Linked DNA regions of Arabidopsis thaliana. The protein of the gene in region 2 interacts with the protein of the main gene of each other region in a pairwise test. Each region holds a gene or a part of one and is shown on either strand. Other genes may lie near its edges.

Region 1 (4,244 bases), on a different chromosome or scaffold from region 2:
GCTTACTTTCACACAAAGGTAAGTTTTGTGTGTACTTTTTTCCAAAACGTTATTGTCATCCTTGCTCTTCTTGTTTTTTGTTAAGTCTTGGATTTTAATAAAGCAGGATTACACTGAGGATGGTCTTGATGGTGGGAATAAGAGTTCTATGTATGCAAATGACATAATCATTAAGCCCGCTGATCGACATAATCTACTGCGCCCTGAAACTGTTGAATCACTCTTTGTCCTCTATCGTATCACAAAAGATACAAAGTATGAAAACTATTCATCCGATTTTCCCTCACTAATCTAAGTTCTTGGGGACTATTCTACTCTTAAAGCTAACACATTTCTAAAATTGCAGATACCGAGATCAAGGTTGGCAAATTTTTGAAGCTTTTGAAAAGTACACAAAGGTGAAATCAGGTGGATACACATCATTGGATGATGTAACAGAAGTGCCTCCTCATAGAAGAGATAAGATGGAGACATTTTTCCTTGGTGAAACATTGAAGTACTTATACTTGCTCTTTGGAGATGACTCAGTGATACCATTGGATAAGTTTGTTTTCAACACTGAAGCTCATCCATTACCAATAAGAAGAAACACCTGAAGGCTTAGTTTTGAAGACTACTCCAGACAATACACACACACACACACATACACAAACTTAAGAGAGGGTATGGAGAAAGTGATGTATAGTACACTGCCAATTGGAGAAGAAGTTAGTTCGTTGAGGAAAAAAAGTCATAACTTTCAATGTAAGATAAGCTTCTGCATCCAAATTATAACTTAACTCGTAAAAGTTTTTGCTTGTAGTAGTAGGTTTCTTGAGACTAATATTCTCTCTTTTCGTTAAGCTCTCACTTGGCAAAATGTAATCAGACACAATTGACATGGAGATGAATTATGGTTTTAGTTTTTTATACATACCATTTACACTGCAAGATAAGATCATTCTGATATGACTAATAAACCTTTAAATTTGAGATCATTTGGTCATCTTAGCTCTTTGTAATCTGCAAGGTGTTGCATAGAACATAATCGACTTGAAGTATGTATGAAGACCAAATTAGGCGCACACACACAATATTTTTTTGTAAATCTCCAAACTCATAACTTCATAAAGGGCGACAAGATCATGTATAAGTTACACACTTAAGTCTAGTTGTCAACAAAAAAAGATTAGTGACACAAAGAGACATCAATCACCCAATAAACTGAAACCACAAGAACCCTCAGTAACTGAATATGACACCATTGAGACAAGGCCGAGCACAGTGGAAAGGGTTTAACAAGTGTGGTTGCAACTGAGTAGCTCAATCAAGCCTTTGCTTTTCCTGCCTGGATAGTTTGTAGCCTTTGTTGTAACTTCATTATCTGCAAATATTTTGATTCCATAAATTGAAACCATAGGATCATTATCACCATTTAAAAGCCAAGAAAGTGCAGAAACAGCAAATCCTCATATTGCGCCAAGGCCAGTAGGCCACTCAACGAGACAGAGGAGATAACAAAGTTCAAGTATTTACTTTCCGGGCAGGCTTAAACTGACAACAATAGCTACCAAAGTATCTTTTTAGAGCTTAGTATACTGAGCATCAATGTTTGGACTATTATTGGTGTAGCAGTCCTAGTATCACTAATTCAATGCACTCAAAGAAGTATATAAATGCATGAGAGGCAGATGTCTTACCGTTTCTCTCTTGTTGTTTTGTTTTTCTTCCATATCTTGAAGAATTGCATCAAGCCGTTTCCTGCAAAGGATACAACAATATTCTTGAGGTCACAACACTATAGCTCAAACACTTTATCAACATCTCTCATAGTTGTTACATAGCTAGAAGTGAAAACATTTTAGCTACTTATGAACAGCAATCACTCACTATTAGCCTAGAAAGAAAGAAAGGTTCTTTATTTACAATAACAATCCCAAAATAGGTTTCTCAACGAACTGCATTTGCTTCAATCACATTAAAAGAAAAGAAACTCACAATTCAGCAGAGATGTACTCAATTCGTTTACGAACATTTGCATTAGCTTCAGCCAAATCCTGCTTCACTAACACCGGACCAATCAATTTGTAGACGTTAGCATCTTCTTCCAGCAAATCTAACTCCTGTAGATACAAGACAGACACATAAAAAGATTAAAGCCAATCAACAATCGAAATAAACTTCTCTTTTCAGTTGAAGTAGCCACAAAACTCAGATTAAACAGTGAGACATGAACATATACCTTAAGCACGAGCTCATTCTCACCGAGTTGGATCGTATACTTCTTTCTCAGCTGATGATTCTTCCCGATATCTGAAAATATGAACACAGAAAAGTAGGGTTTCCCGCCTCCAGAAACAAGAAAAGAATCAAATCGAGAAAAGTTACGAGAATCTACGAAACTTGCCTTTCTGGATTTTGCCGAGATCATTAGCCTTGTTTTCTAGGTCTCTCTGCAAATCACGAACAGTCGATGAACTCATCTTCGTCGTCGTCGTCTGCTTCTTCCTCACTCCGGTGGTTTATTGAAAACTCGCAGATCCACCAAGGAGCAGTAACAAAACTCCGTTAAAGCCCCCGTGTTTTAGTAAGGCCCAAAACCGTATTAACTTGGACTTTTTAACGGCCCAATATGCTTTTCTTCTATTATCAAGCCTAGTTTTAGTTACATACAAAAGAAAAACACTATTTATCACTTGGTGACGTAATATCTTCTAGTTCACTGATCATATCAACACTGAACATAACTCTCATAAACACAAATTTTTACTTTTCGTCCCTTTATACCTCAATCTATAACGGGAAAAATGTCGTTTAATACGTGAACTTTAAAAAAATGGTCATTTAATACGTGAACTTTATATATGGTAAATTAATACATACAAAAATCGTTGACTGGCCATTTTACACAAACTTAATCGTTGATCAGGCCAAAATCTACACGACGTTATCTGACATTAACAGACCGATAACAGCCGTTAACTAATCTCTGTTAGTTTCCAATACGACGTCATTTCGATTATCGCAAAAACGGGAAAAATGCCATTTAATACTCCAACTTTCAAATTATGGTCATTTTATACATCAACTTCACATATGGCCATTTTATACATGAACTAAACGTTGACCAACAGTTTAAAAAATGAGAATGTGTTAACCAGGCCAAAGAGACATACCGCTATCTAGGCCTAGGTATTTGAATAAATCCAAACCGAATCCAAACAAAAATCTGAATATCTAGGTCTAGATAGCGGTATGTCTTTTTGGTCTAATCAACGCATTCTCATATTTTAAACTATTGGTCAACGTTTAGTTCATATATAAAATGGCCACATGTGAAGTTGATATATAAAATGACCACAATTTGAAAATTGGAGTATTAAATGGCATTTTCCGTTTTCGCGATACTCGAAACAACGTCGTATTAGAAACTAACGAAGATTAGTTAACGACTGTTATCGGTCTGTTAATGTCAGATAACGTCGTGTAGATTTTGGCTTGATCAACGATTAAGTTTATGTAAAATTGTCAGTCAACGATTTTTGTATGTATTAATTTGCCATATATAAAGTTCACGTATTAAATGGCCAATTTTGAAAGTTCACGTATTAAACAACATTTTTTCAAATCTATAATAGTGAAAAGCCGAAGATTTTACAAAGACATTTTTGTTGTTGTCAAACTAATAATTCACTCCACAGCCTAAAAGAAATAGAGTTGGATCAAAAGTAAAGTTGCCACTTTAGTCTCGCATCTAGCACAGATCCAATGAGAGGGAAAAAAAAAGAGAGAACCTAGGTCAATACTAAAACTTATTCCATCGTGGCTCTACTAATTAGAACAATTAAATACTATGTTACAGTAGAAACATTTCTTTTACTTTTTTTTTGTTATGCGTGCATGGAGTTTTGTCTGTAAAGAGCTTTAAATATAGTGGAAATTAAATGTTGAGAGTTAAAAAAAAAGAAGAAAAAAAAAGACAAGGAGTGAGGAATCTTGGATAAAAGGACACTAACCTTCCCTGTCTTTGCTCGCTGCCCGAAAAGAACATACAGAAAGACACTTTCACATTTCACACTTACAGAGAGAGAGAAGAGAGATAAAGAGAGCATTTAGATATCTTGAGGAAGACGAAGAAGAAGTAGAGGAGAGATATGGTTCCGAGCAACAATAGATGCAAATGGAGTTCCATTTTCTTGTTTCTGCTCAGTGTCTCCGTTGCCGTCTTAGTCGCCGTCGCTGACGACAAGTCTCCGGCGGTTGAG
Region 2 (5,268 bases):
CAAGTACTGATAATATAGAAGTATTATTGGAAACAAACAAGAAGAGAAGTAAATTCAAAGACAAAATGATTTAGAATTCTTGGAGAAGGAAAAAGAAGAAGACAGCGTGGAGAAAGAGCCCAGAATGTTGAACGTCGTGTGGGCTTCACTCTGCACCACCACCCCAAAACCCTAGTTCATACCCTATCCTATAATTTATACTCAAAATTTTCTCATTTCTTCTATTATTTATCACCATTCATATGGAAGTATATATTTAATGAAGAATTTTCGGATCTATAGATCATTATATGTAAAATCAGTTTTTGATAAAACATGTGACAGTTTCACAAAAATAGTTCATCTTTCACAAAAATAGTACTCGAATCCGGTAGCATTTTAGTATCCTACTATTTAGTTTTTCCACTCCTTTTCATTATATATATAATGATATAAGTCTTTTTACCTCTTTTTCATAAGTCTTTTTAACTCTTTTTTTCTTTAAAAATGATTATATGCACATCTACTTGATAAACTGGCGGATGGTAAACTTGAGTTAGGTTTGAGAATTTTCACTAATTATTTTAGGATTTGAATCTTCTTTAGTATGAGACAATTAAGCTAACACACTCGAAGATATATTCAGATCATAATCAAAATTTATCCGTTGGATATGTATGAATAGATTAAATAAAAGAGAGAATCTCTTCGGTGCACTTGAGACAAATCTATAACATAGAAAATCTTGATTAGATTAAAAACTAGATTAAAGAAGGAAAGAAAAACAAGAAAGTGGGTTTGGCTATACGAAACGAGTGGGATTATTAATGATTAAAAGTAAAAGTCTTTTTGGTCTCTGGTCGGTCGACAATCCGTGTGTCCTGTGGTCAGTGTTTGTTTTTTATTCTTTTGGTTAATTTTCGAGTATTATTATGCTTTCCACTGAAAAAACAAAAACATTAAGCAGCCAAATGAAATTCTTTTAACGCGTTGTTTCAGAACCTGATGAAAAAACAATAATCATGACCTCTTTCTTCTTCCCCTTTAAATGCATGTCAAATTGTGTAGGAGTGTTTGATTATATAAATTAAATCTACTTTAGTCTTCTCTTCTTTGTAGAATTGTAGAGTCGTGGTATAAACTCGAAAATTTCTTATTATACTTATAGAAATTAGGCAGACGAAATGCTCTTGATTTGCTTACAATCTTAGATTAGGTTTAACCCAAGATAAAAAAAAACTTTGTTTTGATGAAGAAAAACACCTTAGTTACAATTTTGGACATCATCTTTTATTTTCACAGTTAGCATCTGAGACTTTTTTTTCTTTTCTTAAATAGAGTTCTTAGACAATATCTTTTGGGTCCCTGATCATGTCAAATGCCAAAAAAATAAATAAGTATACATGATTGTGTCTATTTGACCATTCTAACTTCTAAAAGTTTCAAATGAAATAACTTTGTCAACTATTATTTTTGCCTATGAATTAGGTGCTGACCAGAATCATCTTGCTAAAATCATGATTTTCTACTATTGCATATTATTCTTGATCGCATTTCACAGATCTTAATATATACGAAAATAACTGTATATATTATCAACTGTTACGATTAATATATAACCATGCATATCGAAATATTTTGAATTAGTATTTTTTTTGCTAAATAATATTTTGATATAGTGGTGGCGTGGTATTCCTCATTTACAAATCGCATGAACTTTATCCTAAATACGATTAACTTAAGTAGAAAAGGCACAAAAATCTTCTATTCATTAACATGAAATCAATTCTTAAGAACATAAATAAATAATAATATTCATAGGAAGCCAAATCCATCAGAGAAATCCACAAGATGATGACAGCTCCCCATTTAGAAGTCGTAAAAGAAAAGCAAAGAAGATGTGCAGCACTTGCAGTTTCATTTGTTTTGTTAGATATACCAGAAAAAAAAAAAGAGTGGTCCCATAAAAACCTGTAATATATAACATTTTAATCAAAGAAAATGATAGATTTTTTTATTAAACAGGAAAAACCACTAACTTTTAATTAAAAAATTTGGAATACAGCAATACATCAAAAATCCATTAACGGTACATTATAGTTGAAAATAAATTCAGGTTACATAATATTTTTTGCGTAATCACTATACTATTCTGCCATTTTATATGGAACTAAGTTCATACGTTATTTCTCACAATTCTCCTTGATGTGATCAAAGATAATGGCGGTCTGATTGTATAACCCGGTGAAAAAGGTTTTTTGGAAAGAATTCTTTAATATTAAAATATCAAATAAATTTTGTTTAAAAATTAAGGACACATTATATAGCACTATATATACACATGTGTATGCATTATCAAATGGGATGTTTGTGACCTTTTGTCTCTTCTTCTCTAAAATTCTCTTTCTCCCAAAAACTAAAAAACCAAAAAAACCAAAAAATGTACGCAATGAAAGAAGAAGACTGTCTTCAAACATTTCACAACTTACAAGACTATCAAGACCAGTTTCATCTTCATCATCATCCACAAATTCTCCCCTGGTCGTCGACATCTTTACCTTCTTTTGACCCACTCCATTTCCCATCTAACCCGACCCGTTATTCTGACCCGGTTCACTACTTCAACAGAAGAGCTTCTTCTTCCTCTTCTTCTTTTGACTATAACGACGGTTTTGTCTCTCCTCCTCCTTCCATGGATCATCCTCAGAACCATCTAAGGATTTTATCCGAAGCTCTTGGACCCATCATGCGTCGTGGCTCGTCCTTTGGGTTCGATGGTGAGATCATGGGAAAATTGAGTGCACAAGAAGTCATGGATGCTAAGGCTTTAGCTGCTTCAAAGAGTCATAGTGAAGCTGAGAGAAGAAGACGAGAGAGAATCAACACTCATCTTGCTAAGCTGCGTAGTATATTACCAAACACAACCAAAGTAAGTCGTTTATAAATAAACACTCTTCTCCTTTCATTATGGTTTGATATTTCAGAAACTAATTCACTATTTTGAAAACCCTATGGAAAAATAGTTTTAATTAATTAATGATCCTTCAAAATTTCTCTTTATTTAGTTATTATTGGTTAGAGTAGTAGTAATTGTTGTTGTTTTTTAATAAAGAGAGTAGTAGTAATTGTTCTTTTTCTGATAAATATAGTACTAATTATTCAGTTTCAAAAATGATAAGTACTATATTTTTCAATATTATCATTTTTATCTATCTCTGTTCAACTATTATCGTTTAGTAGTTGTAAATTTTCAAATTTAAAATAAATGTATCAAATCGATATTTTTGGTAAGTAATTATAGTCCACAGATGGGGTATTTTTGTACTAGTTATTATTATTGAAGAAGAAGAATAAGAAGATTAAATACTTATGATTCGTTTTGGTTTTGTATAGACGGACAAAGCTTCTTTGCTAGCGGAAGTGATCCAACACATGAAGGAGCTAAAACGACAAACATCACAGATCACCGACACGTATCAAGTCCCAACAGAGTGCGATGATCTGACCGTAGATTCGTCTTACAACGACGAGGAAGGAAACTTGGTGATAAGAGCATCCTTTTGCTGCCAAGACAGGACTGACCTCATGCATGACGTCATCAATGCCTTAAAGTCTCTTCGTCTTCGAACTCTCAAAGCTGAGATCGCAACCGTAGGTGGTAGAGTCAAGAACATCTTGTTCTTGAGCCGAGAATACGATGATGAAGAAGATCATGATTCATATCGTAGAAACTTCGATGGTGATGACGTGGAGGATTATGATGAAGAGAGGATGATGAATAATCGTGTGAGTTCGATAGAAGAAGCGTTAAAGGCGGTTATAGAGAAGTGTGTTCATAATAATGATGAAAGTAACGATAACAATAACTTGGAGAAATCATCTTCAGGGGGTATTAAGAGGCAAAGGACTAGTAAGATGGTGAATCGATGTTATAATTAGTTAATTAAGTCAAGTCTTTATTAACTAGGGTTAGTTAATTAGACTTGCAAAATGGGATTTGATTATGGGTTGGTGATATTAGTATTATTTTCGGTGTTTTTAGTAGTTGGGATTGGGTTTCTTCTTCTATGTTTTTTTAATCTATGAAGAACCCTTTGTTTAGGGTTTTATAGTGATGAGTTTGGTTTATATATGGTAGTTAAGACATTTTATCGTCTTAATTAATATAGGAAATGTATAGAGCTTGGGTTTGTATTAATTTATCAAGAAGTTTTATTTATCATATTCATGAACTCTGCAACTATTTAATCTTTTGTTTATAAGCAACAACACTACGTAGTAATAGTATAGAGTATAGTTTTATACTTGTCAATTTATTTTCTATTGTGACTGATATAAGAGAAATGACATAAAGAAATCTCTTACGCATATCCATTGTTATTTTTTCTGACAAACTACAACGATTATGTCGAAATCAGTTTTTAAATGTGCATGGGAGAAATAGTCTATGTCGTACTTACTCTATAATTTATTTCCTCAGTTTCTACATATTTTTTAAAACCACAATTTTTTCTTCACATCCGATATATAATTAATGTGATATTTCTTAAATTAGATTGATGTAGAGAGTTATGTGACGGAAGATTTGTGTAAGTTATATCAAGTGAAATCGAGAGTAGTAGTAGATCGAATCTTTTTCGTGAGAAGTGAAAACTTAGATCTTAGTTCTATTTATAGAAACTTAGTTTTGGGATCTCTGATAATATTGTCTCTTTCGCCGTTACTGACTTACGTTATTTATTACAATATTACAGAGACGGTTGATACCACAAGCACATTACGTCATGATCTCGTCATTTTGTATCTACTGGTTTTTCCTTTAGTCCAAAATTCAACGTAGAACCAAAAAAATGGGCTTATTAATTTGGTGTTTTCTTGAGTCTTATTACTTAGACAGCTTTAGACAAATTCTGTATTCCGGTCCAACAGTCGGAAATTTAATCCACTGAGGAAAAAATTTCAACAAAAAATATATAAATGGTAAAATATCGGCAATATTTAATAATGTAACAGGAATATGAAAGAAAAAAAAATGACAAAAAATAAAGAAAAGACTTTACAATTAAGAATTACGAGTTAAAAGGCCAAGTTTTCTAGACCCAATTTTGGCCCAAGAGATTCGATATGTGCTTTTGAAGAGTGTATAGCCGGTGGGTGATGATATCATTTTGACCCATGGGCTGATGTTGAGGCCCAATAAAGAAAAAATATAAAAATGGCCTATACAGGGATCGAACCTGTGACCTTCGCGTTATTAGCACGACGCTCTAACCAACTGAGCTAATAGGC
Region 3 (3,784 bases), 8.6 Mb from region 2:
AAGATTGCAGATGTAGAGACGAGTGTAAGATCTCGAGAGTTCATGGGGAGCTTCAAAATCGATAAAACAGATTTATCCAGAAAAATCTTTGCTCTTCTCTCTTCACTATTAAATGTAGCGGGAAACTATAAGAGAGTGAAAATCCCCGCCATTCCGGTTAAGGCAGGTCTATCATTCGGTTCATATGATTGTTGGTTTAGGTTTCGGTTAATAACTAGATTGGTTTACTGATTGTGCTTTCTCTTCTCAGCAGAAAATTATGGCAATTAACAGATTTTGGTTAATTTCATTTTTTTCAAAAATTATGTGTTATTGAATCATTTATTTTATTATTTGTTATTTTTTTTTATTTTTTTTAGTATTGAGTGCTACCAATATATTTTTTGGATAAAAAAAACTATACCGGTCCAGATTTGATATCTCAACCATCTCTTCTATATTTCTATTAACTATGGATTTAAACTTTTTTGTATCGTTGATGTTTTGACAATCTTTTCAATTCACAAAAAGGTTATAAAAGATTGATTTTGAAATTTTGGTTAATGATCTTGTGAAAAAATTGACATTACCTTTCAAAATTTTTTTTTATAACTATAGTTCTATATTCTTATTTTGCGCTTTTAAGATACCGTCTCTGACTTTTTTATTGGTAGGCACGGTTGTGTATACCTATATAAGTTTTAGTTTTATTTCGCTATTTAGTTTTCTTTTGTCTAATGTAATGTAATATGAACTGGATAGATTAAGAAAACATAAAGTGGAAACGAACAAAGTTTGAAAAATAACAAATAATTGGAAACGTACATGAAACTATGAAACACATGAAACAAGTTAATAACTTTAAAAAAAAAACATTGAAAGCATTACGTACATTTTTATCTATAAATAACAAAATGTATTTAAAACATAACGACCAGGCAATCGTAGATCACAACACAATTCAGATTAGCTATTAAACCTGTGGAATTTTGTTTTTTTTTGTCATTTAGAGCGTCTATACTAATTAATGTAATTGAGATTGCAGCGGAAAGACTCAAACCCTAGTTTCCGAATTCTCAATCCTATAAATCTGTTATAATCTTTCAACTATTTAAATCACATATATAAATAAAATATAAACTGTTATATGAGAAGAATTTGATTAAATTACTAATATATACGGACTAAGCACATAGTAAGTGAGCTAGTTGCTAGCTTTTGAATCCATTAAGCCACGTGCATCACCAATTATTACACAACCCACATCCACATTTTCATTTTTTTAAAAGGATACGTTAATTAACAAATATACAATCGCAAAGTTATTAGTTACAAAAACATATAAAATGAGATAGATGATGAAAAAGTGAAAAGGGTTTCTTTAAAAAGCCTCTCATGCTTCAATAACGTGATCCGTTTATATCCCATCTTCTCTGTCTTTTCTTCAACGGAGATTTTCTCTACACCTTAACTATTTTTTTTCTTCCTATTTCTATCTTCGTTTTACTAACCTACCCTCCATTATTTTCACTTTACAAGTATGCTCCTCTTATGTTTTGGAAAAAAAAAAAACAATGAAATTTTGCAATTGCAAGTTATGTCATAATATATAGTAGCTTTAACGTAAAAAACAACATTAATCACGTTTGCGTTTACATGTTTATATTATTTCGACATAAACGCAAATAACATGTTCATCATTATAAAACATTCTAAAAATTTGGTTATTGGTGACTATTTATTTTGTAACTCGACAAAACTTAAAAAATCTTATATATCTAACCTATTTTTAACTTTAGTTGATTGTTGTACAATCACATCATTTCGTCTTATCATGGAACCACACTTGACAACAAATTCACATAATGGCGGTACGGTGGTCGTTTGTTAACTTTGAGGATTATATAAAAACCCAATGATCAAATAACCCAAAAAGATATGCATATTCGAATAAGGGGTTATAAGTGTAATTTCAAGTAGATAGTATATGTGCACAGACACGAAGCAGCTTACATATAAAGTGATTGGTAATTGCCATCCCCACACTTATTGAGAAGTGCAGCCTTTTAGCCAAAAAAAACAAACAAGAATACAAAAATGGCTGAACAACAAGATCATCACAAAGAGCTTCAGCTTTTACCTTCTCCACCGTCTACCGAATCTCCGGTAAGGAAACACCGACCAACAGTTATAACAACCGACCATCACAACAATCACCACCGTTCCTCCTCCATGATCCACCACGATCTTGACCTCAAACTCTCCATCAGCCTCAGCTCGATCTCAACAGCGGAGGAGCTTCCAAACGGTGGTGTGGAGGCGTTGAAGTGGCAAGCCGCGGAGCAGATAAGGCTTGCGGCTATAGAGAAGGCTTACGCCGAGAGGGTTAGAGAGTTGACTCGCCGTGAGATGGAGATGGCTCAGTCTGAGTTTGCTCGTGCAAGGTAGTTAAAGCTAGCTCGATCAAGTAATAATTCTGGTTTTGGTTTGGTTAACGGTTTTGAATTGTAACCAGGGTGATGTGGCAGAAGGCAAGGGAAGAAGTGGAGAGAGCTGAGAGATTGAAGGAGAGATCAATGACGAAGATCGATACGGCTTGCTTGGAGATCACTTGCCACTCTTGCAGACAAAGGTTTAGGCCATAACATAAGTATTTATTTGTTTCTCTTAATTATTGTTATTATAAATGGATATTTGAAGAGAAAGAGAATGTTGGTTTAATTTAAATTTTATTTTGTAGTTAAATTTAATTTGTTTTCATTTTCGAGTTTGGTAATATTATATAGTCCTTCCTTTTTATTTTCTTGAAATCGAAGGAAAACAATATGCTCAGATAAGAGATGATTTATGTTTCCAGCTACTTTACTTCCTCTTCTTTGCCAACCAAAAAAAAAAAAAAAAAAAATCATGAATACCATTTAGTGAATTACTTGGGAATTAGGGATAAAATTCATTAGTTACGTTGTCAACATTAGCTATGTCAATTCCTCAACGATCAGCTATTATATACTATATGGAGTATTAAAATCTAACTATGACATTTATTAACCAACAGAACAAAACCTAATTAGTAATTACAGTGATTAGTTAGTTAAATGCTTGATGTTAAAGTAACAAGAGATGGAGTGACATTCACAATCGAGGAACGTGGAAAATAAAAAAGAGAATGGACGGATTGCATGATTTGAATATAATTGGCTGACCCATATGTGATTCATTTGATTTGTTGTAATCATCTTTGAAAACGTTCGTTCAATGAAAATTGATGATTATTCTGAAAACAAATAATCAAACACACGTAAAGACATATGCATGGAGATGATGGGTATAATTATTGCATTAACATGCTTATTTCATCTACTTTAATCTCTTAGGTCGCTTTAAATAGTATATATGTGTGTACTATTATTTTGTGTTTGTGCATATACGTACATTTACTTACAGAAACTTGATAAATGTATGAATATTTTTGATAAGAGAGAGGATTAATTTTAATTATGTACTTCGTAGACTATGGTTTAAATCAATCGTGTACTACAGATAATATGTTCAAATTTAAATCCTAAAAAATGCCGAGTTTACGATCATACCCTAAATACGTAAATCAACTCGGCTGATCTATTCGGTTGGTCGTCATATTCTCTATAAAATGATACATACATATGAACTATATTAACGATTATGACAATATATAGAATATATGTAAACATTTTGAGAATATATATCAAAAGCACATTGTAATCCACTTTGTCATTTCTATGCCCATCTTTAGTATTTGGAACTGAATATACGTTTTCGAACAGAT

Evidence for each region.
Region 1: the proteins of BHLH32 (region 2) and PFD6 interact in a two-hybrid assay, tested with the Arabidopsis thaliana proteins (one large-scale study listed by BioGRID).
Region 3: the proteins of BHLH32 (region 2) and AT3G48550 interact in a two-hybrid assay, tested with the Arabidopsis thaliana proteins (one large-scale study listed by BioGRID).

What each region holds. Positions count from the first base shown.
Region 1 is NC_003070.9:10,505,884-10,510,127, reverse strand, and holds PFD6 (prefoldin 6), read right to left. Parts: upstream 2,596-4,244; 5' UTR 2,463-2,595; coding exon 2,387-2,462; intron 2,293-2,386; coding exon 2,222-2,292; intron 2,103-2,221; coding exon 1,978-2,102; intron 1,741-1,977; coding exon 1,680-1,740; intron 1,364-1,679; coding exon 1,307-1,363; 3' UTR 977-1,306; downstream 1-976. Other genes in the region: MNS3 (alpha-mannosidase 3), read left to right, coding at 1-18, 107-255, 347-596; AT1G29980 (choice-of-anchor C domain protein, putative (Protein of unknown function, DUF642)), read left to right, coding at 4,134-4,244. UniProt on the Arabidopsis thaliana protein: Binds specifically to cytosolic chaperonin (c-CPN) and transfers target proteins to it. Binds to nascent polypeptide chain and promotes folding in an environment in which there are many competing pathways for nonnative proteins.
Region 2 is NC_003074.8:9,367,179-9,372,446, forward strand, and holds BHLH32 (basic helix-loop-helix 32), read left to right. Parts: upstream 1-2,320; 5' UTR 2,321-2,419; coding exon 2,420-2,908; intron 2,909-3,372; coding exon 3,373-3,918; 3' UTR 3,919-4,309; downstream 4,310-5,268. UniProt on the Arabidopsis thaliana protein: Transcription factor required for MONOPTEROS-dependent root initiation in embryo. Transcriptionally controlled by MONOPTEROS.
Region 3 is NC_003074.8:17,991,972-17,995,755, forward strand, and holds AT3G48550 (SHOOT GRAVITROPISM-like protein), read left to right. Parts: upstream 1-1,847; 5' UTR 1,848-2,076; coding exon 2,077-2,423; intron 2,424-2,494; coding exon 2,495-2,624; 3' UTR 2,625-2,808; downstream 2,809-3,784. Other genes in the region: AT3G48540 (Cytidine/deoxycytidylate deaminase family protein), read right to left, coding at 1-44.